Linked DNA regions of Rattus norvegicus. The protein of the gene in region 7 interacts with the protein of the main gene of each other region in a pairwise test. Links are inferred from orthologs where the notes say so. Each region holds a gene or a part of one and is shown on either strand. Other genes may lie near its edges.

What was found.
Region 1: the proteins of Prpf31 (region 7) and Lurap1 interact in binary tests that used the Homo sapiens proteins (3 or more experiments, as listed by UniProt). The two-hybrid records come from large-scale screens. The link is inferred for Rattus norvegicus from reciprocal best matches to the Homo sapiens genes PRPF31 and LURAP1.
Region 2: the proteins of Prpf31 (region 7) and Mkrn3 interact in binary tests that used the Homo sapiens proteins (3 or more experiments, as listed by UniProt). The two-hybrid records come from large-scale screens. The link is inferred for Rattus norvegicus from reciprocal best matches to the Homo sapiens genes PRPF31 and MKRN3.
Region 3: the proteins of Prpf31 (region 7) and Efemp2 interact in binary tests that used the Homo sapiens proteins (3 or more experiments, as listed by UniProt). The two-hybrid records come from large-scale screens. The link is inferred for Rattus norvegicus from reciprocal best matches to the Homo sapiens genes PRPF31 and EFEMP2.
Region 4: the proteins of Prpf31 (region 7) and Pnma2 interact in binary tests that used the Homo sapiens proteins (3 or more experiments, as listed by UniProt). The two-hybrid records come from large-scale screens. The link is inferred for Rattus norvegicus from reciprocal best matches to the Homo sapiens genes PRPF31 and PNMA2.
Region 5: the proteins of Prpf31 (region 7) and Tada2a interact in binary tests that used the Homo sapiens proteins (3 or more experiments, as listed by UniProt). The two-hybrid records come from large-scale screens. The link is inferred for Rattus norvegicus from reciprocal best matches to the Homo sapiens genes PRPF31 and TADA2A.
Region 6: the proteins of Prpf31 (region 7) and Mtus2 interact in binary tests that used the Homo sapiens proteins (3 or more experiments, as listed by UniProt). The two-hybrid records come from large-scale screens. The link is inferred for Rattus norvegicus from reciprocal best matches to the Homo sapiens genes PRPF31 and MTUS2.

Annotation. Positions count from the first base shown.
Region 1 is NC_086023.1:134,855,367-134,858,866, reverse strand, and holds the end of Lurap1 (leucine rich adaptor protein 1), read left to right. Parts: intron 1-2,120; coding exon 2,121-2,642; 3' UTR 2,643-3,224; downstream 3,225-3,500. UniProt on the Homo sapiens protein: Acts as an activator of the canonical NF-kappa-B pathway and drive the production of pro-inflammatory cytokines. Promotes the antigen (Ag)-presenting and priming function of dendritic cells via the canonical NF-kappa-B pathway.
Region 2 is NC_086019.1:125,338,379-125,342,529, forward strand, and holds Mkrn3 (probable E3 ubiquitin-protein ligase makorin-3), read right to left. Parts: upstream 2,801-4,151; 5' UTR 2,689-2,800; coding exon 1,102-2,688; 3' UTR 286-1,101; downstream 1-285. UniProt on the Homo sapiens protein: E3 ubiquitin ligase catalyzing the covalent attachment of ubiquitin moieties onto substrate proteins.
Region 3 is NC_086019.1:212,210,586-212,214,521, reverse strand, and holds the start of Efemp2 (EGF-containing fibulin-like extracellular matrix protein 2 isoform 1 precursor), read right to left. Parts: upstream 2,801-3,936; 5' UTR 2,704-2,800; exon of another isoform or gene 2,474-2,703; coding exon of another isoform or gene 2,408-2,473; coding exon 2,297-2,407; intron 2,067-2,296; coding exon 2,018-2,066; intron 1,379-2,017; coding exon 1,172-1,378; intron 1-1,171. UniProt on the Homo sapiens protein: Plays a crucial role in elastic fiber formation in tissue, and in the formation of ultrastructural connections between elastic laminae and smooth muscle cells in the aorta, therefore participates in terminal differentiation and maturation of smooth muscle cell (SMC) and in the mechanical properties and wall integrity maintenance of the aorta.
Region 4 is NC_086033.1:45,293,060-45,295,639, reverse strand, and holds the end of Pnma2 (paraneoplastic antigen Ma2), read right to left. Parts: coding exon 2,174-2,580; 3' UTR 501-2,173; downstream 1-500.
Region 5 is NC_086028.1:69,508,770-69,512,821, forward strand, and holds the start of Tada2a (transcriptional adapter 2-alpha), read right to left. Parts: upstream 2,801-4,052; 5' UTR 2,729-2,800; exon of another isoform or gene 2,680-2,728; intron 1,028-2,679; 5' UTR 939-1,027; coding exon 914-938; intron 1-913. UniProt on the Homo sapiens protein: Component of the ATAC complex, a complex with histone acetyltransferase activity on histones H3 and H4. Required for the function of some acidic activation domains, which activate transcription from a distant site. Binds double-stranded DNA.
Region 6 is NC_086030.1:11,975,004-11,978,503, forward strand, and holds part of Mtus2 (microtubule-associated tumor suppressor candidate 2), read right to left. Parts: intron 2,907-3,500; 5' UTR 2,686-2,906; coding exon 535-2,685; intron 1-534. UniProt on the Homo sapiens protein: Binds microtubules. Together with MAPRE1 may target the microtubule depolymerase KIF2C to the plus-end of microtubules. May regulate the dynamics of microtubules at their growing distal tip.
Region 7 is NC_086019.1:74,496,423-74,499,922, forward strand, and holds part of Prpf31 (U4/U6 small nuclear ribonucleoprotein Prp31), read right to left. Parts: intron 3,126-3,500; coding exon 3,028-3,125; intron 2,353-3,027; coding exon 2,246-2,352; intron 1,985-2,245; coding exon 1,815-1,984; intron 453-1,814; coding exon 295-452; intron 1-294. UniProt on the Homo sapiens protein: Involved in pre-mRNA splicing as component of the spliceosome. Required for the assembly of the U4/U5/U6 tri-snRNP complex, one of the building blocks of the spliceosome.

The DNA.
Region 1 (3,500 bases), on a different chromosome or scaffold from region 7:
TTTTTTTTTTTGGAGCTGAGGACCGAACCCAGGGCCTTGCACTTGCTAGGTAAGCGCTCTACCACTGAACTAAATCCCCAACCCCTTATTAATTTTTTAAGAGGTCTCACACTAGCTTCGAACTCCTTTAAAGTTTTAATTTTTAAATTATTAAAAAAAATAAAAAATTTTTAAATTATTTTTATTTATATGTATGTGTGTTTGTGTATGTGTGTGTGCACGTGCCTGTCAAGATCATAAAAGGGGATTGGATTTTTTTTATGGAGCTGTAGTTATAGGAGGTTGTGAACCACACCATGTGGACACTGGAATTTGTTACTGGTGTTTTGCTACTTTGTGGATTTTTCTTTCTTCCACCCTTCTCCATCGTTTCCCACCCTTTCAACTCCCTAACACTAGATAGGGAAAAAAGGATAAAAAGGAAAGGGGACAACAATATGGTTCAACTATTTCTTCCTGATTAGGGACACTGAGTTCCTTGGGCCAAGTTTGGTCTTCCCTGGCCAGGATATCACATTTCTTCTTCTTTCTTCTTTGCACATAACTACTGAATAAGTGGTAACAACAACCAGCAATCTACCTACTGGGGCTCTAGCATTTATACACCCTCTGAAAAGTTCTGGATGTCACACAATCGCAACTGTCTGCAGCTGGCAAGATCACACCCCTGCTAGAGCACAAGGCAAATCACAGTCAGCTGCTGTAAGCAATCGTGTGAAGCAGCCCCATATAGCACACCTGGGACTAAAATAAAAACATTCCTAGTTCTGTTTTTTTTTCTTGTTGTTGTAGTTGTTTAGATTTATTTATTTATATGAGTCCACTGTAGCTGTCTTCAGACACACCAGAAGAGGGCATTGGATCCCATTACAGATGGTTGTGAGCCACCATGATGTGGTTGCTGGGATTTGAACTCGTGATCCCTAGAAAAGCAGTCTGTGCTCTTAACCGCTGAGCCATCTCTTTAGGCCCCTAGATCTGCTTTTTAAAGAAACCAAAATTCTCACGGCAGGAACCAAACTCCAGTCCTCATCAGGAGTATCAAACACTTAACTGATGAGCCATCTCCTAAGCCCCTGGCCTCAAACTCTTCACTCCTTCTCAGCCTCTTTTTCTGTTTGCTTGTTTGATTTCTAAGACAGTTATAGTCTTCCCTGACCTATAACTCACTTTGTAGACTAGGCTGGCCGGGAACTCACAGAAATCTTCTTGCCTCTGCCTTCCAAGTGTTTCTCCTCAGCTTTTTGAGTGCTGAAGTTATATGCATGAGCCATATTTTTTTTAAAAAAGCCCTCATTTTATTTTATTATTTTATTTCATTAATTTTGAAACAGGGTCTCATGAACCTCCGGCTGGTTTTGAACTGCCAGTGTAGCTGAGAATAGCCTTGAACTTCTGATCTCCTTCTTTCCAGTTGAGTGCCTGGATTACAAGTGTGCATCACTACATTAGTTTATCCAGTGCTAGGGATAGAACTCAGGGCTTAGTGAATGCTAGGCAAGTGTTCCTCCACTGAGCCACATCCCCCACCCTCATATTTTAATATTTAATGTCTACAAAGACCCTGCTGTAGAAAGTGCATACCTGATAGCATTTAAAATCCTTGTTCCCAGGCTACAAAGTGAATGATTTAGCCTTGTTTTTTAATCAAGGAAACTGAGGCTCAAAGAAAATATGATAGCTACTTAGAATCATGCAGCTAATCAATAGGGAAGTTGTTTTGTTGTTTTTTGGGGGGGGGTTGTTTGTTTTGTTTTGTTTTTGAGCTGTGACTTCTCTTAAGCTCTGTAGACCAGGCTGGCCCCAAACTCAGAGATCCACCTGCCTCTGCCTCCAAGTGCTGGGATTAAAGGCATGCGCCACCACTGCCTGGTTGGAAAGTTGTCTTTTTGTTTGGTGCAAGTCATGGAACCCAGGATTTCACACATGCTAAGGAGGCAAGTCGATCTCCACTGAGCTGTATCTCCAGCCTAGATCCATCTGAAAATTTAAACAGGGGTCTCTTTGCTCTAAAGCCTGTATCTCTTCCCGTGTTTTTTTAAAAGTGAAGTGTAGCCGCCTGGACCACCTGGGAAACTCATAGCCTGAAAGGGAACTAATGTCTTTTCTCACTTCCTCAGGCTTACCTGCGAGCCATCGATGTGAAGATTCTGCAGCAGCTGGTGACCTTGAATGAGGGAATTGAGGCAGTGCGCTGGCTGCTGGAGGAGCGGGGGACACTGACCAGCCATTGCAGCAGTCTCACCAGCAGTCAGTATAGTCTGACAGGGGGAAGCCCAGAACGCTCAAGGCGGGGCAGTTGGGACAGCCTGCCAGATACCAGTTCAACTGACCGGCTGGACAGTGTCTCTATTGGCAGCTTCTTGGACACGGTGGCCCCCAGAGAGCTGGATGAACAAGGACACCCTGGGCCTTCCTGTCCTGAGATTGACTGGGCAAAGGTTATACCCAGTGAGGACAGGGCCAGGACTGAGGTGGACATGACATCCACCAAGCTAGGGAGCCTAACAGCTACATGGAAACTTCCAGGGGACGGGCTCCAATGTGGACCACCTGAGCCATCAGAAGATGACAGTGCTAAGCAGGGCTTTGAGGCTCATTGGTACTGGGGACAGTGCCAGGATGATGTGACCTTCTTGTAAAAACTTTCCTACCCATTTGCACTTTGTGGCTCTTTCAAATTTTGGCCCAAGTCTCCCTCAATTTTCTCTCCACCTCCAACTAGACGGGGGCTGGAGGCTGTACTACAATCAGTTACCATGGAAGCCTGGCTTATCTCTCTGGTTCCTGGGGAGCCTCTGCATTTATCCCTCAATTATTAGGTCCCTAAGGCTATCTCCATAGAGATATTGACTCTAGAGGCCTAGCCTGTGGCTCCTGATGTAAGGCTATCTCCATTCCCCTCCCCAGTGAGGTGAGTTTTATGGAATGTAGGGCCTCTAGGAGATCACTGAGGAAGAGATCTCATCAAAGCTTAGGAGCCAGGAATGCCTCTTACCAAAAAAATGGAGAATTGACCCTGTTTCAAAATGCTCAAACCCCCAAGGATTGGTCCGCCTAGATACCTTTGGAGTTGGGAGACCAACCCTTTCATGCCTGCTGGGTGATGTCGTTTCTTGTCATGATACATGAAGAGTGCTTCCTCTATACCAGTCCTGGTGGGTTTGGCATTTAAAGTCCCTGCCACTGCCTCTTGTGAGAAGGAACATGTCGTTCTTCCTGGCAAATGTGTGTGCTGCTTTTCTCAAGTTCTTACTTTTCAAACATGGTGTTTTCATGTTGTTCTCAAGGCTTCCACTTACAGCCCAGGGCTGTAAGGATACTCTTGTCGAGTAAGAAACTCAGAGGCCTCCACCCTAGGCTCCCAAATCTCTTGGCTCACTTTACTGCAGACTTTTGTCTGGCTCTGGGCTGCCCCATCACTGATTCTTGCCTCCAGATCTGTCTGCCAGAGTTCAGCCGGAGTACCCTCACAGCGTCTCAGTTTCCTTTTTAGGTCT
Region 2 (4,151 bases), about 51 Mb from region 7:
TTATACCCTGTCTGACGTCAATACTTATTACTATTTTTTTCATAGTCACATAACTTTTATTTTGAAAACCTTTCCTTAAAAGTTCTTTGCTTATAAAATATACAATAACCAGATATTTAAGATATTAAAAACAAAGAAATGTATGTTTGAGTTCAGGAATTGTCACTGTGAAGACAAATGAGATGGTGACTTCGTGTGAGGCACTGTTTCATTATAGAGAAGCTGTTAATGTTATCATAGAAATTTTCAAAGTCATGTTTTGTAAATCCATTAAAAAGAGTCAGATACACACATAGCAGTCATTTTTATTAGATGCTAATCACTGACATCAGTGCAAGGGCAGGTAATTATCCACACAATTCACATACAGCCCATACACTTGGACTTTAACATTAGGCTTTCAGCTCTACATTTATTTCATTACTTCAAACATATATTACGATGTATATTTGTTTCCAGTTTTTTCAAATACATCTTTGTATACATATACGCATATATATCATTCTTAAATATATATTTCCAAATATAAATAATTTCACATCAAGCCAAACAGGATAAAAACATGTAAACATATGCACCTCATTTTGGTCAAGTAAAACAGAACCACAAAATAACCACAAGTTAACAAGTGCACTTGAAAGAGAAGAAACAAACATGTAAACAAACACAGACAGCAGCTGCAAGGTCCTGTAAGGGTCCATTTTTTTTTTAAGGCTATATAGCAAAAAGCTCATAATTCAGTTAAAGACTTTTGTCACCTTGTCACATTTACTCTTAAGGGACTTCACAATGAGAAACTGTAAACACTAGACTAGAAGTGATTGAATCCTGTTGGAAAAAGACATCACAAGTCATCAGCTGACAGAAATATTAATTCCACCAAACAATACTTATAAGATTTCTTGTTATTTTGTAACACGGAGAAACATCACAATCCTAGCGAGAAGAAATGGGAAATAGAGGAGAAAACAGCAATACTGCATAAAGATTGCCTCAACAGCCTTTGAAAGCGATAGGGTTTTTGAGTCAGTCGATAAAGGGGAATAAGCAACAGCAGACAACAGAGCCTTAGCAGACCAGACCACATGCCACAGCGTGATACTACAGATTCAAATTGAAATATTCTTCCAGCTGGTACTGAAGCAAGAGCCACCGGTCATCAGAGATGGAAAAACTGCCTCGCAGGCAAAGCAACTTCTTAAGCAACTGATTGGCCAGGCGAAGCACGGAATGCTCCTTTTTACGGCTTTTAAACAGCACGCTTCCCTCTCGCAACTGCACAGGCTCCAAAACTTGATGCCAGTATGCGCTGGACGATCCACCACCATCTGGCCTCGGAGGCTGATCTCTCCAGCCCTCGGGGTATTCATGCTTGTAAAAACAGAATTCTCCAAATGGGCAGTGACCTAGGCCTCCAGCAAAATACCTGCAGGCTTTCTGGCTCATCCCCTCCTTATATTGCTGAACAAGTTTCTCCTTCTCCTCTTCCTCCTCCACCCAGAACTCACTAGGAATGACAAAGCCAGAGGAGACCCTGCACTGTGGGCAGGACTTACTGATCCTGTTCTCAAACTGTGTGGCACTTCTCCACCTGCGGATACACTTAAGACAGTAGGTGTGGTTGCAGCTGAAAAGGATGCCAAAGCGGCGGTCGCTGGGGTCGGCCTTCTCATAGACAACCTCCATGCAGATGCCACACACTTTGTCCATGCTGCGCTGCACAGCAAAAGAGAGTTCCATATCTCTCTCGTGTGCTTCAACGCAGGCCCTTCTATGAGCTTCCTGCTGAGCTGCATCCCAAGGGTGCAGGGCCTGTTGCCCGCACATGTCGCATATTTCTCCATGGGGGTATGCACACCTGTCCCCACGGAGGCATTGTCCCCGAGCAGCATAGCGGCAAAGCGGCAGCGGCATTCCCATGCCCATAGCCATATGCTCTCTCTCAATCTCCGGGCTCTGCAGAGGAGCCTCGGGACCATGCGGGGGGATCATGCGACCTCGATACGGCTGTCCAGGAACAAACTCAATTGCCCCCTCCCAGCCTTCTGCACCCGCTCCTCCCGCAGCACCTGCTGCAAGGCCTGCATTGTCAATCTCAGCTTCAGGGAAGCCCCTTTCAGCAGCTGAGCCAATGCCTGCATTGTCAATCTCAGCTTCCGAGAAGCCCCTTTCAGCAGCCGAGCCAATCAGAGGCAAGGAGCTTGAGGATGCAGTAGGGGGGGCTTCCGCCACTTCCTGAGTCGGGGGCTCCCAGTGAGTGGCCATCTTGGGTCCTCTGTCTGCAGAGGCCCGAGGCTGAGAATCTTGGCCCCCCCTAGCTTTCCGCCGCCCAGAAAGGTCGTGAGAGTAGCGACAGTTATCGCCCTCCTTGCACTGCCCATGCAGATAATACCTGCAGAGGATTTGCTTCGTCCAGCTGCCTGTGTTGCGCTCCGGACCAGACCTGGCCCCGCCCCCTTCGGCTGGAGCGGGTCTCAAACTCGCCGCGCGCCGGTTCGCAGGGACTGGAGCCATAAGAAACGGTGCCAGGCCCGATGCCTCTTGCAGAGGGGCTGAGCTGGCTACCGCAGAAGCTCCAGAAGCCTCAAACTGAGGAGGGGGGGGGGCAGACACACCCTCCCCCCCCTCAGCACCTGCCTCGGCGCCGGCGGCCTCGTAGGCTTCCATGGGAGCTGTAGACTCTTCCATCACGCAGCGTGCCTCTAACACTGTCCAAAAACCCGAATATTATGTCTTTTTTGTGCTTGAATTGCGGAGCTGAAGATGGTCCGATCAGCTTCTTCTCGGAGAGAAGTGCATCAATTTTTGTCTTCCCACCTGCTCCCTGTTCCCTGAGAACTTTGGTTCCTACCTGCTTACAGGCAGCCGGACACTTCCGGTTGTAACACCATTTTCCGGTGCTTCACCGGAAGTTGCTTCCGCCATGTTTTTCCCGTACCGGTAACCGCTTAAGATATTGGAATCGGCTTCTGCCGGCTCTCTTAGAGCGATTCTGAACTCCCCAACCCCCGTTTCCACACTGTTTTCCTTGAAGGTTGATGTTTTAATCTCTCCAGGTTTCGGTTGTATACATTGCATTTTATTTTCGTTTTCAGTTAAGAAAACGCTACAATCCTTGCCTTTGCCATCGGCTGCTATTGACATTTATAGAACATTTCACTCATAAACATTAAAAAATATTTTTCGGTTCAATCTGTCTTTTGTTTATAGGTGACTACTTTTTAAATCGAAAAGGGGCCCCCCCGCCGAAGCATTTCTCCTTTGACGCTTATAGATCTGACACAATTTCTTTGGGTCTTTTTTCCTTGAAGGGTTAATTTGCGTGCACTTTAATTAGAAGGGAATCCTCTGCCCTGAGGCTAGTCAGACAGAGCCTTTCACTTTCCTGCCTTTGTTATATATCCCCACCCACCCCACAACAAAGTAGAAGCCTAGACTTTGTCTAGCCCTGATGAAGACTTAATAAGCCAAGGTCTGAGAGTGACCCAGGCTTTTAACTTTTTTCTGTTGGTTGGATTCGGAGACCCTTTGTTCCCTGCCTTCCTTTTCATCCCATTCTGCTCTCCCGAGCTTTTCATAATACAAGCTCTTCTTTGTGCACCAAAGTGTCTCATTTCCATTTCCACATTGAGCCGCAGTTTTGTTTTGTTTTGTTTTTTCGTTTTGCAGATATATACTATTGGACTAATAATTTCATATATAGTTCTACAATGCTACATCTACTTACTATAGTGTCATACTAAATTTTATAGTGTAGTTATTTGTGGGTTTTTATTTTTAGTAATAACCATGTTGTCTTATAATATTTAATATACTACTTTTTTCCAAAACTAAAATTATGCTTGCTAAAATAATTTTATTACAGGCAGTCTTACAAACTAAGGTTAAAAAAACTCTGAATGCTTTTGATATAATCATCCAACTCAAAATATTAAAATATTATTCTCCACTAAATAAAGCCAACAACAATAAAACAAGCTAAGAGGAACATTATCAAAGAATATAGATAAAAGAGGTGAAATGAAGCAAAAGTAAATATGAAATAAGGAAATAGAATAAGCGAAATTTTTCTTGTATAACTTATCAAGAAACATAATAAAAGGCTCAGAACTCCAGCATCACATACGTCAAAAGAACTGACACTAAGTAAC
Region 3 (3,936 bases), about 140 Mb from region 7:
CGTGTGAGGAGGGGGCCCATGCACATGGGTAGTTGGCATCAAATCATGAACATTTAATTGAGATCATCCCAATAGTCCAAAAAAGAGTCCACCAAGGAATTACCAGGAAAAGTACCCATTAGGAGAACATACTAAAATAGGGTCTTGTGGGAACTGGTGGCACACACCTTCAATTCCACCACTGCGGGGGAAGAGAGGCAAGAGGACCTCTGTGAGTGCCAAGCTAGTTGTAGCTAGGGCTACAGAGTGAGACACTGTCTTAAAAATAAATACATAAGTAAACAGACAAATAAAGCCCTGTCCATTTATACCCCGCAGCTGACTGCAGGGCCAGGATCTCTCCTCCTCCCAGACCTGACTCCAGATCAAAAAGCTGGCAGAGGCTGGGAGCAGAGCTCTCACATGTCTGTCCAGGAACTGAGGCTGCTAGGGACATCCTGGGCCTGCAGACCATGCACTGAGCCTGCAGTAGATGAAAACTTGGATATTTCTCTGAGCAGCCAGACGGAAGGAGCATGAGGTCTGGGGTATTAAATAGGGAAAATTACTTTATTATTTTGTTAATTAATTGTTTTGAGGTAAGATCTCGGGCAGCCTCAGGTGGTCCTCAAAAGTTCTTACGCAGCTGAGGATAACCTGTACTTTCGGATCTTTTTGCTCTCTCCCCACTGGTGGGTTACAGGTGTGCGCTACCACACTTGTTTTTTGTGTTTTTTTTGTGGTGCCAGGAATCAAATCCAGAAACGATCTCAAAACCCAAAGTACATAGCTGGATGGTGGGGTACAGAGGCAGGTGGATCTCTGAGTCTGAGTTCTAGGATGGCCAAGGCTACACAGAGAAACCCTCTCTCAAAAATCAAAAACAAAGAAACAAACTAAGGAGGACTAAAATAACTCTACTGGAGGATTAAAAGAAACAAGAATGATATATGCCGAGATGGCACCATGATAAAACACATTACTTTGAACAGTAAATACAAAGTTAGTGTTTTTTTCTATTCTTTTTTTTTTTTTTTTTTTTTTTTGGAAGCTGGGGATCGAACCCAGGGCCTTGAGCTTGCTAGGCAAGCGCTCTACACTGAGCCAAATCCCCAACCCCCAAAGTTAGTTTTTTTTAAAAAAAGTTTATAAAAGGCCTGGAAGCCTAGGTGCCAGCATGGCCCCCACTTACCCACACAGCTCTCCTGTTCATCAGGTTCATAGCCCGGAGGGCAAGGATTTGGGTGTTGAGCAGAGGCTGCTGGTGGTGGAGGTCCTTCACTGTGGAGATCACTGATGACGGCAGCAGAGCGAGGCAGACACAAATAGCCCCCGTAGTGGTTGATGCATTTCATTTCACCCTTGCAAGCCTCGGGGATGGTCAGGCACTCATTGACATCTGCAGAGAGGGGCCTGCTGGGCACAGCCAGTCACCTGGGCTGGCCCTGGAGGTAGTGGGAGGCAGAAGCCCAACTTGGCCTTCTCTAAACTGAGCAACACAGCAAGGCTTTCTCTCTGCTCAGCAAAGGCTGCCGACCCAGAACCCCTCCCAGGCATTTGCAGGACTGGGTGTGTGGCCCCCTATTTCACACTGTTACCCCCATTCTCCTGCCTCCATGTGAGTTTCCGTTTCTCTTCAAATCCCTGCCTCTACCTTTGCCCAAGAGTAATTTGCAGGCCTCCTGACCCACAGAGCTTGTACTGCCCTCCCAGGGTGCACTGGGATAGAGCTGGGCTGGGAGAGTGCAGTGCAGTTCAGGGAAGGTGTACGTATTTCCTTCTTTCTGGGCAATAGCCAGGTGCTCTCTTGCCTCCTGCAGGACAGAGGCAGAGTTTGTTCACCCTCTTGAAGGGGTAGGGCTCCTAATTGAGTGGCACAAGAGAAGCATGGCTGCCTACCAGATGGCTGGCTACCAGGGTGGACAGTGGGAAGGCCATCAAGTTCCTGCTGCAGCTCTGGGAGATAAGGTGTCCCTGGGAAACAGAAGTAATCCCCTTCCCAGTTCCTGAAGATGGCTAGTACCCCAGACATACTCACCCCGGCAATGCTGGCTGTCTGCATCCCACTCATAGCCATCTGTGCATTCCTGGAAGGGAACCCGATGTGGCCAGTGACCACCCTGGCTGTCTCCTCCAACTAGCCAGGCCAAGACCAGGGCTTGAGCTCAGTCATGCTCAGGTCAGCTCCACACAATGGCCTCCAGCTTTCCACCAACCAAGCAGGGGAGAATCATTCCCAGAAGCAGCCTCCCCAGGATCCTGCCTCACTCGCTGTCCTTCCCATCCCATCCCAAGCTGGTGACCCCAAGGTCCCCACCGTGTAGCTGTCCGGCTCTTCGGAATCCTGTGGGGACGCTGCTCCCAAGAGCAACAGCAGAAACGCCCAGAGCAGTAAAGACCCGGGGAGGCAGGAGGCAAATGGGAGCATCCTGGGGCTGAGAGGGGGTGGGCAGAAGTCAGGGGTTTCTGCCACGACACCCCCCATTCCCTCCATCTGGAAGGGGAGGCTGGGTCCCAGCTATCTCGTCCCAGGACTGTTCTGGGAGCACCGAAACCTTCCAGGGCTGGGGACCGAGTCCCTTCGCAGGCCTGGGGCTCAGGGCCGCAATCTTGGACCGCCCCGCCCCCGCCCCACGAGTCATGAAGCGCAGGCCTCTCCGCTCCGCGCAGCATATACTCGGCCGCAACACGGCCCGCGCCCTCCCTCCGCTGGAGGCCACTCACGCGTTGACTCCAGCAGTGCCTGCGGGCGGACGGACGGACCGCGCAGCTCACTGGACGCGCGGCCCCAGGAAGCGCCCCCCGCCCGCCCGCCGCGGCCCACCCCGGCGCCTCCGCCCGCCCTTCGGCGGATTCCTGAGCCCGCGCCAGGGGGAGGGACCCCGACCCCCCGGCTTCTCCGCCCCGGCCGGCCACAGGCCCCCACCCGGTCCCCCGCGGCGCTGCCTGGAGTCGCCTGTGGACGCCTAGTCAGTTTCCCAATGTTTGGGTCCTTAGACCATTGACCTTGATGCTTGGCACCCAAACTCACCTGGGGACCCCAGGCCCTCACTCAAAATGATTATTCTGTCCACCTAAACCCTATCTAACCTGTGCCTCCGGAATCCCTCTGTGCACTCGCACCTCCGTGTAACCGGATTCTGCGCTTCCCAGAACCTAACAAACATTTATTTAATCCTCAGATCTCCAAATGCTACCACTTTCAGGATTTTATCCAGTGTTACACTCTTAGATGGTCCTAAAACTTCATCCAAGGTTTCCTGATCCTCGTCCAGGCATACAATTAATTGTCCAATTCCCTCTGTATCCACCTCCACCACCCCCAGGTGGTCTCTTTACTCAGGGCACTGCTTCCCCAAGCCCTGCCTGCGCAACGCTACAATAGTATGGGGGCGAGGGCAGCAGTAGTCTTGGCCCGAAATGAATGGAAGCCCCTGAGAAGGCGGGCAAGCTTGAACTTGGTCGCGGAGGACACTAGGGCCCAGTGCCAGCCCTTTCCCGACCCTCTTCCCATCCAAGTCCCCCACCCAGTTTCCGCCTCCGCCCCCAGCGGAGATCATGCCTTGGAGGCGGAGTCTGGGTGCCTCTGGCGCCCAGGAAGGGGTAAATGGGCGGGACTTCGCGTTGCCCACGTCTCAGGGCGGGTCTAGACGGGAAAGGGTTGCGTGTCCAGGGCTCCCGTGCTTGGCCCAGACCGCTAGCGGCAATAACCCGGCCTTCCTTCCTTCCTTTCCCTTTCCCAACCTCTTTCCATCTTTTTTTGTTTGTTTTTGTTTTGTCTTTTTGCGACAGAGTCTCAAACTGTAGCTCTGACTGTTCTGAAACTCACTAAGTAGATGAGGCTTCGAACTCACAAAGATCTGCCTGTCTCTGCCTCCTAGGTTCTGGGATGAAAGGCGTGCACTACCATGTTCCGCTCTGCTGTGACGGAAATAAAAATTCTGCTTCATTTCATTT
Region 4 (2,580 bases), on a different chromosome or scaffold from region 7:
TCAAGGCTGTGCACAGCCACAGGCTGGTTGGAATGTGCACACCATTGCCAGCAGGCAGCTTTGTTCTGCAGCCATGGGTGAGTCTGGAAACAAAAGCAAGCCTGGTGAACACTGACATCCTGAGACCTGATACTAGCGCACTTGATACTGCCTGCTGGGTGTTCGAGACTTAAGGAGTTTAAAATACACTTGCCTAAAAATCAATCCTCTACAGAACTGAGAAAACACACTGGAGTGACACACAACGAAGGGTGGATTCCTAAAGTCTTGTTCGGGTATCACTTCTGAGCACTTTTGGTGCTGAGACCATTTAACTCAGTAGAGCTTTGCTTCTTTCTTGTTGTGAGGTGTGTCACAAGCACTGCCCCTCCTCCACACACACACACATGCATGCAAGCACACACACACACCCTATAACGAGTAGATTGCTGCACACAGGATATATGTGTTTCACGTAAGTTGTTGTTGTTGTTTTAAATAAGGTCAGTTTATCCTTCTGTGGTATGAGTAAACATTGGTCTACTTGGCGTGGTTTTAAAAAATTACATGGGGCTGGGGATTTAGCTCAATGGTAGAGCGCTTACCTAGGAAGCGCAAGGCCCTGGGTTCGGTCCCCAGCTCCGAAAAAAAGAACCAAAAAAAAAAAAAAAATTACATGAATGTGTGTGTGTGTATGTGTGTGTGTGTGTGTGTGTGTGTGTGTGTGTGTGTGGTGTGTAATGACAGCTTGCAGGAAGTGGTTTTCTTCTTCTACCCCATGGGTTATGGGGATCAAAACTGCCCGGAAGAAGGAATAGAGAAAAGGAAGAGAGAAGCCACTGTTTTTGAGTAGGTAGAAGGTAAGCATGTAGCCACATGGAGAAAGAGAAACAGCCCAGAATACTAGAGAGTGTGTACTTAAACCTGGGCCAGTGCCAAAGCAGAAAACGAAAAGGAAAAAGTGAAAATGACATTTCATGGTGGTTCTGTAGTGGCTGTATAGATAGCAGGGATTCTGGGAAGGAAAAGTATATGACCTCATTAAAGGGATAGTTATTCTTCCCATCTCATTAGCATAGAGAAGGTGAATCTGCCTTCCTGATGGGCAGTCCACTAGCCAGGCGATGAACCTGTCCAACTGGATTAACTCATGCTGTGGTTAGCCTGCAATGGTATGTCTCTGCTTAGACCATTCTTCTGACCAGAAGGCAACGGTTTTCTCTGAATGAGATTCAGAAGAGCCCTGACTAAGGCTACTGTAAATTCTCCCCTCTGATGAGGTAACCCTAAAATCATTTAGGAGATGGGCTAAAATTGGGGAACAGATATAAGCCATTTTATCATGAAAAAATCTATGGACCTAATTCTACAGCTATCCACAAATGGATTAGTGTCTGGCTAAAGGTCCCACCCTCAAGTGTAACCCTTAGGAAGGGGACAGGACCAGAGAACCAGGGATACATTGGGAATGCCTAGAAACTGCCCGGCCTGTTTCTTTCCTTCCTAAGGTTTTGTTTTTATTTTATGTGTCTGGTCTGCATGTATGTGTATGTGCCACATGTGTGCAGTGCTTAAAGAGACCAGAAGAAGAGGTTGAATCCCCTGAAACAAGAGTTATTGATAGTTGGGAACCACCGCATGGGTACTGGGATCCCTTCAAAAGAGTAGCAAGTGTGTTTAGTTGCTGACGAGTAGCTCTTCAGCCCCTGCCTGGCCAGTTTCTATCTCCTGTTCACATTATCACTCCGTCTGAAGAGACTGACAAGCAACTTGACCAACCAAGCTGTCTGGCCAACCCTTGTGTAGGAAACTAAGATTCAGGAGTTTTAGGTATTGGAACTTAGTCTTGTATTTTTTTTTTTTTTTAACAATCTAGTTAGAGTCCCTCAAACTCCAGGTTTTTTTTTTTTTTTTTACCTCAGAAAGAAAAACAAGATGGAGCTCTAGTGGTAGTATATTCCTCTAATCCCAGAACTCCAAACTTGGAAGGCTGAGGCAGGAAGAATACCAGTTCAAGGCCAGCCTGGGCTATAAGGTGAGAACCTATCAAAACCAAAGAAAAAGGAAAAACAAAAAACCCCAAAACCTTCATTCCTAATGCTTGACTTCAGTCCTGCACTTTAAAGCAAAGTGCACTAGAATGGGATTAGCCTTGTCAAGCATTACCAGATCAGAAATGGAGTAGGGATGTCTGTCAGTTGTTCCTTGAATTGTCCCAGCGGCCAGAGCCCTCCCTTTCCCCTGGCTCCTCTCTGCTCTCGTGTTCAAAGTAGGCCTCTTCTTCTTCCTCCTCACGGACCACCTTCATCAGCTGCAAAAACGTGGGCAGTGGGCCCTGATCCTTCAGCTCCCGTAGCCTGCACCAAAGAACGTTGCTAAGGTTGGCTCCAGCCATGACCTGCTCCAGACGTACCTGGTCAGCAATGTTCCGGGGGATGGCCCTTTTTTCCACAGCTCTCCGGAGCAGAGTCTCCAGCCGGAGCACATAGGCTGAGATTTTCTCTCCTTCTTGCTGATAGGTTTTTAGGTATTTGACCTGTGAGGTTCTACGGCTCTCCATGCTCCCAAACACCTGCTTAAAGGCCTCCAGACATTCTTCTG
Region 5 (4,052 bases), on a different chromosome or scaffold from region 7:
ACGGACAAATTGTCATCATTATTATTTGTGGGTTTTTTGTTTGCTGTTTTAGGCAGGATCTCATTAAGTAGTCCAGGGTTGTCTGGACTCATTATGTGGATCAGGCTGGCCTTGAACTCACAAAGATCTCTCTGCCTTTGCCTCCAGAGTGCTGGGATTAAAGGAATGTGCCATCGTGATAGGTTCTAACAATTGTTTTAAAGGATGGGATAGCGGGGAGAGGTAGTACCAGCCTTTAATCCCAGAGGCAGACACATTACCAAACAGAAGCTTGCCTGATCTACAAAGAGTTCCAGGATAGTCAACTCAGTTACACAGAGAAACCCTTTCTTGAAGGAAATGATGTGAGAGTTTTCCAATTTACACTTGCAACATTAGTAAAATGAAAATGTAGAACTGGATGTGTCTAAGGTTCTGCTGAACCTACAAAGGGAAAATGCAGAGTGCCTTTGAGAAAATGACAGGAAACAAGACCTAAAAGCACACTTCTGGTTCTTACTAACAAATACCTACTTTGTGACTGTACATGCCTGTATGTGCACTGCTCACTTTTATGATTTCTATTTCTATGAAATCCAATGATGATACAAGTCTGGAATCCCAGCACTTACTTGATGAACAAGTAGTTCAAGGCCATCCTTCGCTACAAAGCCAGTTCCAGGCCAGCCAATCTACACGAGAACTTGGGCTTAAAATAACATGTTTATTTATAGATCAATCATATGGGGCTAGTCCACTCAGCCTGGCTTTATTCTAAAGTGATGAAGCTGTGTTGCATATGTGATAATTATGTGATATTCATAATTCCTTCAGGCATTATCATTCAATTTCAAAGGCGTTGCTTCCCTGATCAACTTCTATTTTAGTTCGCTCGCTATTCATTATCACTAGAGACTTGTCCCACTGTACTTACTGCTAAAGGAACCCAAACGGTCCATCCTCTAGCTGACAGACTGCTGTGTGATCTTCCTTGATACAGAGCTTTGAGACTTCAGAAGTTGCCAAAGATTAACAATCCCACGGTCCCCTATGAACAAAGAGAAGACCCACACAGATCAGAAAACCATTCAAGGTTCATTTCACTCACAGAATTTAAAGTAATCCTCCTTACAAAATCTGGAACTTGCTGGTGTAGTGGTATGAACATTTAATCCTAACACCCAGGAAGCAGAAAAAAAATAGGTCTCTGAGTTCAAGACCAGCCTGGTCTACATGGAGAGTTCTGAACCAGCCAGGGCTACAGAGTGAGACCCTGTCTCAAAAAATTAATTTGAATTTTATTACTGGAAACTAAGGACTCCTACCGAACATATATTGATCAGTAATTTACTCATTCAAACAGAAGGTAGAAATAGGAGGAATTCAACGTCATCCCTGGCTATCTACTGCTTGAAACCCCAAACCTAAAACAAGCATGGCAGGCACACCTTTGATCCTAGCACTAAGGCACAAGCAGCCTAATCTACAGAGTGAGCTCCAGGAAGGCAGCGCTGGCTACACAGAGAAACCCTATCTTGGAGAAAAAAACAAACAGACCACATACACCAAAACAAAGCACTTAGCAACTTGGACAAATAAATGTTAGTCTTCTAAAAGGCTAATGCACCTTCATTTCTCCTGAAAGTTTTTTCACTTTGACATTTTTAGCTTGGGGACTGATACACAAAGTATATGTAATGCTTAGATAATAAGGTGGAGGGCCGATTTTTTTGGCTACTTTGGGTAGGGGTGAGTTTTTCCTCTATATAGTTCCAAGAAAACTGGGTCTTTGAAGAAGAATGTTGTGGACTCTGTAGCTCAACTATAGGGGGTTTAAGCATGAAGGATGCTTTGTATTCAAACTCCAGCATCCAATAAGCTTACACCTAGTACTCCAGAGGTACAAGCAAGAGGATCAGGAGTTCAAGGAAATTCTTGGCTACATTAAGTTCAAGGTTGGCCCAAGATACATGAGGCTGCCTAAAGAAATAAATTAATTAATTAAAAAAAATCAATTCAACAAAGGCATATTATATACCCAGGAATAAAATAACAGCCAACATCCATATGCCAGGTACTGAATGGAAGTATGTAGACTATATCTTGGAATCCTAACAATCTCCTGGCGCAGGCTAAACAGAAGCGCTAAAGATTGGGGTATTTGCATAATGTTTTTACAGCCTGCTGAACAGCAGGGCCCTATCAATAGACCCTTACACTGTCAAAGACACTACAATACGTTCTGACAAAAACACTTCACGTCGCAAAGCACAATGTTGCAGAAAGTAAAATCTTCCTTCCTCTCCTTCCTTAAAAGACCACGCAGTGACACTAACATCCTTGACAGACGGGCTTCCTTTAAATTAATTACCAGAAAGAGCAGGGAAGGGGGCGAGGGTCAGAACCCCATGAGGAAAACAGGGGAGTGAGTCGGGGGCTTGGCAATTGTGCAGACAGCATCCTTATAGCTGCACGGTCTTGGGCAAGTCATTGAACCGGGGCCTCGGCTCCAAAACGGTGCTAAACACTGGCTCGCGGAGACCCACGTGGGGGCTCGGCGGGTCAGGTGGGCCGGGGCCGCGCTCCACCGCCCAGCCCGAATACCAAGGTGCGGCAGCGCCAGCCGCGGGGGGGAGGGGCTCGGGACTCGCGGGCCGCATCAACCTCCCCCGCCGCGTGGCCCGCAGAGCCAGCCCGCACCTCGTGACCCCGAGTGCCTTCGCTCCCGCCGCTCGGCCCCGCGCCTCACCTCGCCACGTCCCGCACCTCGGCACCGAAGAGCCCGCCGCTGCGTGCGCTGTGCAGACTCTCTGCGTGCGCGCCACGGCCTACGTGCGCGGCCCCGAATCACGTGCGCGGTCCCGTACCACTCAGTCACGAGCACGCCGAGTCTGTCCCGCCTCCTCCAGTCCCGCGGCGGGCGGGTCCCGGTGGCGTCGCCCCGGGATGAGGAGCATGGTACCTGGCTACTTGTCGGTGGGCCCTGAACTCTGACCTGCTGTCACTTTCCCCGTCACCACTGGCGTCCCGGTGGCACGCGCTAAGGCGGCCTCGGCTGGTTCAGTCTGGATTTTTTCTTAACAGTCCCATTCCAGTTCTGTTGAAAGCAAGGAAACTGAGGCTGCCTAGGCACTGGTTGGAGAATGGCGAGCCCGAGCCGCGCTGTGCCACTCATGGATTACCTAGACTGAATGAATTGAGGGGTGAAGAGGGTCCTTTTTACTCTGATGCTTCTGGGACGTCGAAATTGCCTTCTCTGGAAAGACCCATCCCCTCTCTGGGCTTCAGAGGCCCACATGGAAGCGCAATGATGATGTGGTGGTCCACTCTGATGTCACTCTTGAGGGCTAGGTATGTCCCAACATCTCTTTCTACTACTAGTATAGATTCTTATAAGAGCTTCCATTTGTGGAGTCCGTCCTTACTGCATGCCAGGCATTGTACAAAGAGGGTTACACATAAGGGCTCGCCTAGATCAACTTTCTGAGGGAGTCGCTGTTACTGCCCTCACGGTCCAGCTGAGGAAATTTAGGCATTGAAATATATAACTTAGGATCACAGTGCTACCAAGCGTTGGGGAAGAGAGTCCAACCATGGCGGATCTTAACTATTATGTGTAATATCTTTTTAAAAATCTGTTTCGTAGATGTGTCCAATTTCTGTTGGAATTCATTTATATGCTATCTGCCTATGTGACCTCTTGATACGTTTTTTGGCATGCAGGTAATATAAATTCATTGTTAAAATAAAAAAAATTGCAGCTGGGTGTACTTAGTGACACATCTGTGATCTCAACACTTGGGAGAGTGCAGAACAGTTGCCTTGAGTTTGAGATCAATCTGGGCTACAGAGTGAGAAGTCTGTCTTTTTAAAAAAAAAAAAAAAAGAGTAGAAAAGAAAAAAACATTAATAATTCACATATGAAAGTCACCCCCCGCCACGTTAAGTAAACACTTAATGTAAATGTTCACATTTACTGAATCTCCAAATCCATTCATTTGACTCAGGTGCTGAGAGTTTGGTAGTGAGCAAAACATATTCTCTTGCATATGAGGTTCGTGTATTATATGTAA
Region 6 (3,500 bases), on a different chromosome or scaffold from region 7:
ATTCGAGCTATATTCTATTGTATTTTCTGACACAGAGTTACACTCAGTTGCCCAGGCTGGCCTGGGACTCTTTCTTTCCTAACCTCATGAATGCTAGGATCCCAGGCGTGTGCCACCGCTCGCAGCTCACCACAAGACTTTCTCCAGAGTCAACCGCTCCACTCGAAAGGATTTGAATACTGTTTACTTCAGCTTTTTCCTTGCTTTGACCTGGCCCATACATCGCTACTTCTTTATTAAAGGTGGAAGCTGACTTAAATGAGCCCTTGTCTAATTCCAAGTGTCTCTCGTTCTCAGTAAAACTTGAATGAGCCACCTTAGATCTTGGGACGATCCCAACCTGACTATCACTCTGTGTTCTAAGTAGTCACTCCCAGGCCTAAGTACACCCTTCGGTAGCAGTGTATCCCTGAGCGTCTGCAGTTCACTTACAGAAGACATTTTGTTTCCAAGTTTCACTTAAAACAAAACAAAAACAACAGACCTAAAGAAAACCACAAATGGATACATCATTTTACAATGATGTCGGCTTACCTCCTGCAGGAACTTCTCGCTCATCTGACTGAAATGGTGCGCTGGGGGCTTGATCCCAGACACCATCAATCCGGAAGGGAAGACCCTTGGCTTCTGCAAGTCAGGCTTCAGTTTCTCGTACATATTTGCAGGCGGCTGAAGGCTCGACGCCTTCTCTTCTTGGGGAAGAGGCATACCACATGCAGGAGGGGCATACGGAAGCCCTACTGGGACAAGGGAAGCATCTCCCTGACTCAGCGCCTGGGGGTTCCTGCGTATGTAAGTGATGATCTTGGGCCTCACATGTTTGGGTTTGGGCATGAGGATGGGCTTTGCCTCTGTCCTTTCTTCTGTTTTCTCTGTCTCCGGTTTCTCCAGTGCTTCCTGGGAGGAGGGCGTGTCCTTGGGGTGCGTAAGAGACTTGGGGATTCCACTGGGGCAGGTGGTCTTGTCAGGCACTTTCGGCGATGTGTTCAGTACCTGCCCACCACCAGTGGGGGCTGAGGCCACTGAGAGTGACCCTGTGTCCACACTGAACACTCCGAGCTCCTGAGAACTGCTACTTGGAGGAGTCAGGTACTCAGTCAAGTTCACAGTTGTCTCTGGGTGGAGGGGAGCCGGGGTACTGAACACGGAATCTACTCCAGCCGGAGTGACGTCAGTTTGGGCCGCATTTTCTGGAAGGTTCTTATCTTCAGCTACAGATGTTACCGTCTCTTTGCTTTTCCTGGCTTCCAAGCTGCTACTTCGAGGGCTCAAGAGCTCGGAGGCGTCGGTTCTGTTCCCACCCACAAAAGGACCTGAGGCCAACAGTTTGGCACTGCCCGAGTTCCCGCTACCCAGCCTCCTCTCCTCCCCACTGACCTCGGAGGGCGCGCTCTCATTTGGATCACGGAGAACAGGAGTTACTTGTCCGTCATCAGGTGCAGCTTTGCCGGATGCTGTTTCCCTCGCCATCCTACCCGCACCTGCTGACGCTTTCCCGGTGAGTCCAGTCCCTGCCTCTCCCGCGGGAGCGGCGCTCGGTGCAGGGGTGGCTTGCAGAGACCCCTCCACACCAGCACTGACTCCAATCCCGTCTTCCTGGCTGCCGCCTCGTCCCACTCCAAGCTGGTGCTGGCTGCTGTTCAGTTGACCGGTGGCTTCTCGGTATTCCTTCTCAAGTAGCTCCTTCCTGTCTACAGGTGACGTGCTTCTTTCCTCACGACATACCAGAGCTTGGGCCTGGGCTGATGTTAGTCCCTCCTCATTCCTGGGTTGGATATATTTGAGCTCCACTTTGGGCTTCCCTGTTCCTTGACCTAAATACACTTCTGGATGACAGAGGCTGGGGTTTTCCCTCAGTGCTGAAGCTAGACTGGGAGTCAGTTCTGCACGAGCGGTGCACTGGTTGTGAACATCTGGGCCACGTGTCCCCTCCACCTTGGTGTCTGATGGGCTGGAGCCCTTGGCTTCTGAGGTAGATGGTTTAGGAAGAGACACACCGTTCCCCTCTGAGGTTCCGTCACCTGGAGAAAAAACTTTCCCTGGAGAGTGACTGGCTGGTGTCCCTTGTGGCCCCTCCCCATGCCCAGGCACGTGACCCTGAGGCTCCGAGATGTCCGGCTGCGCTGGCTGTGGGTTCGTCGTTGGAGTGATGCCACCAGCTGCAGCTGCTGACCTGCTTGCTCGCTTCAGCTCTTCGTTGTCAAGAGTCTTTGCCAATTTGTCCTTGGGAGTGTGCCTGGGAATCTCAGCAGAAACCTCTGGACTGGCTTGACCCACTGCGTTCCTCCAGCTGGAGAAACTTGGTCCCTGAATACTCTGGGGGGTCTGCAGGGTACCTCTTTTTACTGTGTGCTCCTCACTCAGTTGCCTATGAACAGTCAGAGAAGACTGAGAATCCCTCTGGCTGGCAGAGCCAGCCTGAGACCCTTTCCCGAGGCCCTGAAGGTGAAGAGGCTCCTTTTGGAAGTGGCCGTGGTATTGTGGCCTGCTTAAATTTGCATTTCCGATCTCATCATCCAGATCACGTGACTTGGGCTCATCGCAAGAGGCGCTAACCTCCAACATGATTTGATTGGCATTTGTATCCCCCGTCCTCAGAATATTGTCGTTATTATTTTTTGCTCCTTCTCGGTGATCTCGCAACTGACTGAAACAGGATTTCTTTGGCGCGAGTGGGACACTCATGGTCACGTCTTCAATGAGGGCTGCTGGCCATGCGGCCTCCCTTCAAGCTGCAGGGCAACAGGCAGCTGTCACCTTCTCTGTCCTCCTCTGACAATGTCACATCTAGAAGATTCTTTGAACCTCTTCAGATGAGTTTCAGAACCAACCACTGTCTTGACACACAGTAGGACAACTCTTCATGCTCCATTGCTGTTCAGTGCAAACCAGTGGGTTCAGGAGACCTGGAAAGAAACCAAAACGTGTGTGCTTTAGAGTGAAGACAGCAATAATCTTGAGCAAAAGACACAGGCAGCAATCACATAGATGTGACCCTTTCTTCTATCCTGTTATGTCATGTGCTTATTTCAAAATCGTTTCAAATAAAGGCTTATCTGACTAAATATCCAAGCTGAGACATCACAAGGATACATTTTAGAGTGAGATATAAGGGGTCTTACATGTATGCTGTCTTAGAATTGTGTGTGTGGTTGTGTCTCTGTATGTGTGTGTAGTTTATGTATAGTGTAGTATGTATGTGTGTGGTGTGTGTGGTGTATTTGTGTGTGTATGTGTGTGGTGTCTGGTGTATGTGTAGTGTGATATATATGTGTGTGTGTGTGTGTGTGTACTGTGGTGTATGTGAGCACATGTGCTATGTGTAGTATGGTGTGTGTGTGTGTGTGTGTGTGTGTGTGTGGTGTCTCCTCTCTTCACTGACAATTTACTTTCTGATTTGTTGTCCAGAGTTTGCCATGCTCTAAGAATATCAGATGAAAAGTTCCAGAAACAATCCATTGGTTTCAAACAAGGTACAGGTTTTAGCTGTGTGATAAAAC
Region 7 (3,500 bases):
AAAGGTAACAGCCACTACAATAATCACTTCTCATCTAGGGCCAGCCATACCCCAGACTCTGGGAGGTAGGCCTTATGCCTGTGCGCTTTCCTAATAACTGCCTCTTGAGGGGTATGCTCTAGCTGCCCCTGGTTTCCAGCCACCCAACCATCCTCATTGCCAAGTGGCAGACCCAGAATAGTATCCTTGCTCTTCCAACCATGTTGCCTCATCCTCCAGGAGCCTGAGGGCTATTGCCAGCCAAGCCAGATAAGGCCTAGTGGCTGGGGCTAGGGGTCAAGGTGAAGTACTCACTGGGGGCAGAGACTGCACAATGTCACTGTGGTAGATGTAGCCAGTGTGAGGCAGCACTGAGGTAGAAGAGAAGCCAGACAGTGTCTTGCGCTGGGCTCCCAACAGCATGATGTTGCAGGCAGGCATCTTAGACAGGTTGGTCAGCCCTCCAGCCACACCTGCAAAAAGAGGTGAGGTCAGAACACAGGGTTTACATCCAGGAACTCATGTATACCTTTGTGGATTAAGTAAGAATGTCCCTCATAGGCTCATACAGTCACCACAAAGTAAAACTCATTGATAGATTAGAAGGTTCAGAAGGCATGGCCTTGTTGAAACAAGTGTGTCACTGGGGGTGGGCTTTGAGGTTTCAAAAGTCCACGCCAGGTCCAATGTCTCTCTCTCTCTGCTTGTGGTTCATCTATATCTCCAGCACTATGCCTGCCTGCTGCTGTGCTCCCTGCCATGATAATAACGGCTTAAGATTCTAAAAGTGTAAGTAAGCCCCCAGCTGTGTCTTCACAGCAAGAGAACAGTGACTAAGACAACTTTGCACCTTCATTTGTTGGCTGGTTTGATATCAAGTATTTCACTCAGTAGCCAAGGCTGGCCTCAAATTCAAAGCAACCCTCCTGCCTCAGCCTTCCAAATAACAGTTACTAGTATAAGTCACTGTATCCAGCAGGACATGGGATCTTTTCTGGTGGGGAGGGGGATTTTATTTTTATTATTTTATATGTATAAGTAGGGTGTGTGCATGGAGATCAGAAACTTATGGGACTTAGCTCTCCCCTCTTGTATGTGGGTTTGGGGGAATCACCACACTCAGGTTCTCAGGTTGTCAAGCCTGGGCAGCAAATTCTTTTACCAGCTGAGTCATCTTTCTAGCTCAGGACACAGAATCTTTAAGGAAATGACTAAGGTAAAATGAGGTCATATGGATCCTGACTCTATCTGACTGGCATTCTTGTAAGAAAAGGAGATAAGGATACAGATACAAGTGGTGTGGCTACACAGCCAAGCAGAGGCCTCTGGAGAAGTCTCACAGCAACTTGGTCTCAGACTTGCCAGCTCTGAAACAGTAGCCTCAGGAGTATATGCATCTTGGCCTGTGGGACTCAAGCCTGAAGCTCAGTGAGCAAAGATGGTAAGTTTTCCCATATTCCCTTTGCAAGCATCTCTCTGCAAGGAAGGAAAGGACTCTGCTACAGGAGCTTCCAGGAGAAAGAGCATAGCACATGGCAGGGTTTGCTGCCCTATCCAGTAGGAAAGCTTGAGCTGACATCAGTACTCTGTGGCTGCTCCAGGGTCTAAAATGGGCCTATTGGCAGGAAGAAGTTGGCTTGCCATCTGTGCAACCTGATTCAGCCAGCCAGCTAAACCTAGAAGGGAGTTGCTATGCTTCTATCGTGTGTACATACCAAGCTGGCTGATCTCAGTCTTCAGGGGACAATACAATCGCGCTAAGGCCAAACCCCACTTCCCCAAGGCAACCTAACCTATCAGCAGCCTCAGCCAAAGGGACCTAGCTGGGACCTCACCCATGATCTTGGCAGCCGTGGAAGCTCCAATGATGATGGACAAGTTGGGTGCAATGAACGACATCCGGGACTCCACGTACTCATAGATGCGGTGCTTGGAGGCATTCAGCTCCAGTGCCATGTCACAGGCCTCCTCTAGTCGCTCTAGTTCCTCATCTGACAGCTGCTGCCTGCATTGTGGGGCAGGTAAGGGTTGGGAACAGACCCCAGTTTTGCTAGGTACAGTTCTAACTAGTGTTCAGTCCCACCCACCCTCTCAGCTGTGTATGCAAGTGTGTTTGTGTAGCTCTAGGACTATCTAAAATTCCATCCGCCTAGGGGTCATAATTCTCAGTCAGCACCACCTTGACCATGACCCCCATTCTGCCTCTCTCTCTTTTGTTAATTGTCCTATTGTAGGCTTGCTGCACCTTACCATATGGCATACATACCCCTGGGTGGTAGAGGCAGTAACACTAACAACCATGATGGTAGCATTGGTCAGGATCTGCTGGAGATTCTCATTGTTCTTACACTTATCCAGGCTGTTGCCCAGTTCCTGGGGTAGGAAGGGGAAAAAGAAATTCTAGGAACACTAACACAGGTCTCCCCTTGAGGAAGTTGGAAAAGCTAAGGTCCATATACTGGAGACTTCTCGTGCCTTTTACAGTTTTACAACATCCCTGCCTAAAGCATCAGTGCTGCCTACTCTGCTCTGCTGATGCAGAAGTAGAACCTAGGCAGAGCAGCCTCCAAGGAAGACATGTGCACTAAAGAGGCCTTCAAAAGTGCACTTTCTTCCACAGACAAGACTTCTTCTGCCACCATCCTGATCTCTTGGGCAGAGACAGGACCCCTGCTCTTTCACCTCCACCTGCTCCCATCACTTCTAGAGAAGCCAACACCTTCTACGTCTAATGTTCTCTGACCTTTCTAAGCTTCCCTCCCTGCCCCTTCTGACTTCATCCTTACTTGTTCCCACTCAGGGTCTTAGCTCTTATTCAGCTGTGGCCTCTGCCAGATCAAAGGACTCCTGCTCCAACTGCAGCTAGAAGTAAGGGCCAGGTCAGTGGTTATCCTCCCACAAAACCAAGGGGAGGAGGGAAGCAAGGGATGTGTATGACACATCCATTCCAGTATCTGTCTCTCACCACTGAGCCCCGTTATTTCTAGACTTGAGGCTTCCTGGTCTAGTGGCCTCAGTTCTTCCCAAGCCAGACTCCTCTCCACTCACCTTGACTGTGCGGATGTAATCCAGAGCGTTGGGCACCAAGGATTCTAGCTCAGGGAATCTCTTTGAGTATTTATCCCGGATGAACTTATGGATAATGTCTAAATGGGACATGGAGGGTAGGTGTCCACTGAGGGGGAGGCAGACTCTGCTGCTATCCCCAACACCCACTTCCACCACTTTAGTAACCAACCCCAAATCATGTGTGGGGACATGGATGCCAGCATGAAATATATATTTCCTAGCTGTCCCCAATGCTATGTGGAGGGGGAAGTTTGTTCTACAAAGGTCTACAAAATATGAACCAAAGTGACATTTTTCAACTTCCAGATCATGGCCATAAGGAAACAACCATGCCCTATCTTCCCTCCACATTTTCTGGTAAGGATATGGAGGTGAGCGATCATCCTAGAGCATGAACAGGTGCAGAGCCTGGCTGCTGAAGGGGGTCAAAGGATGATTCGACTTGCTTTCCT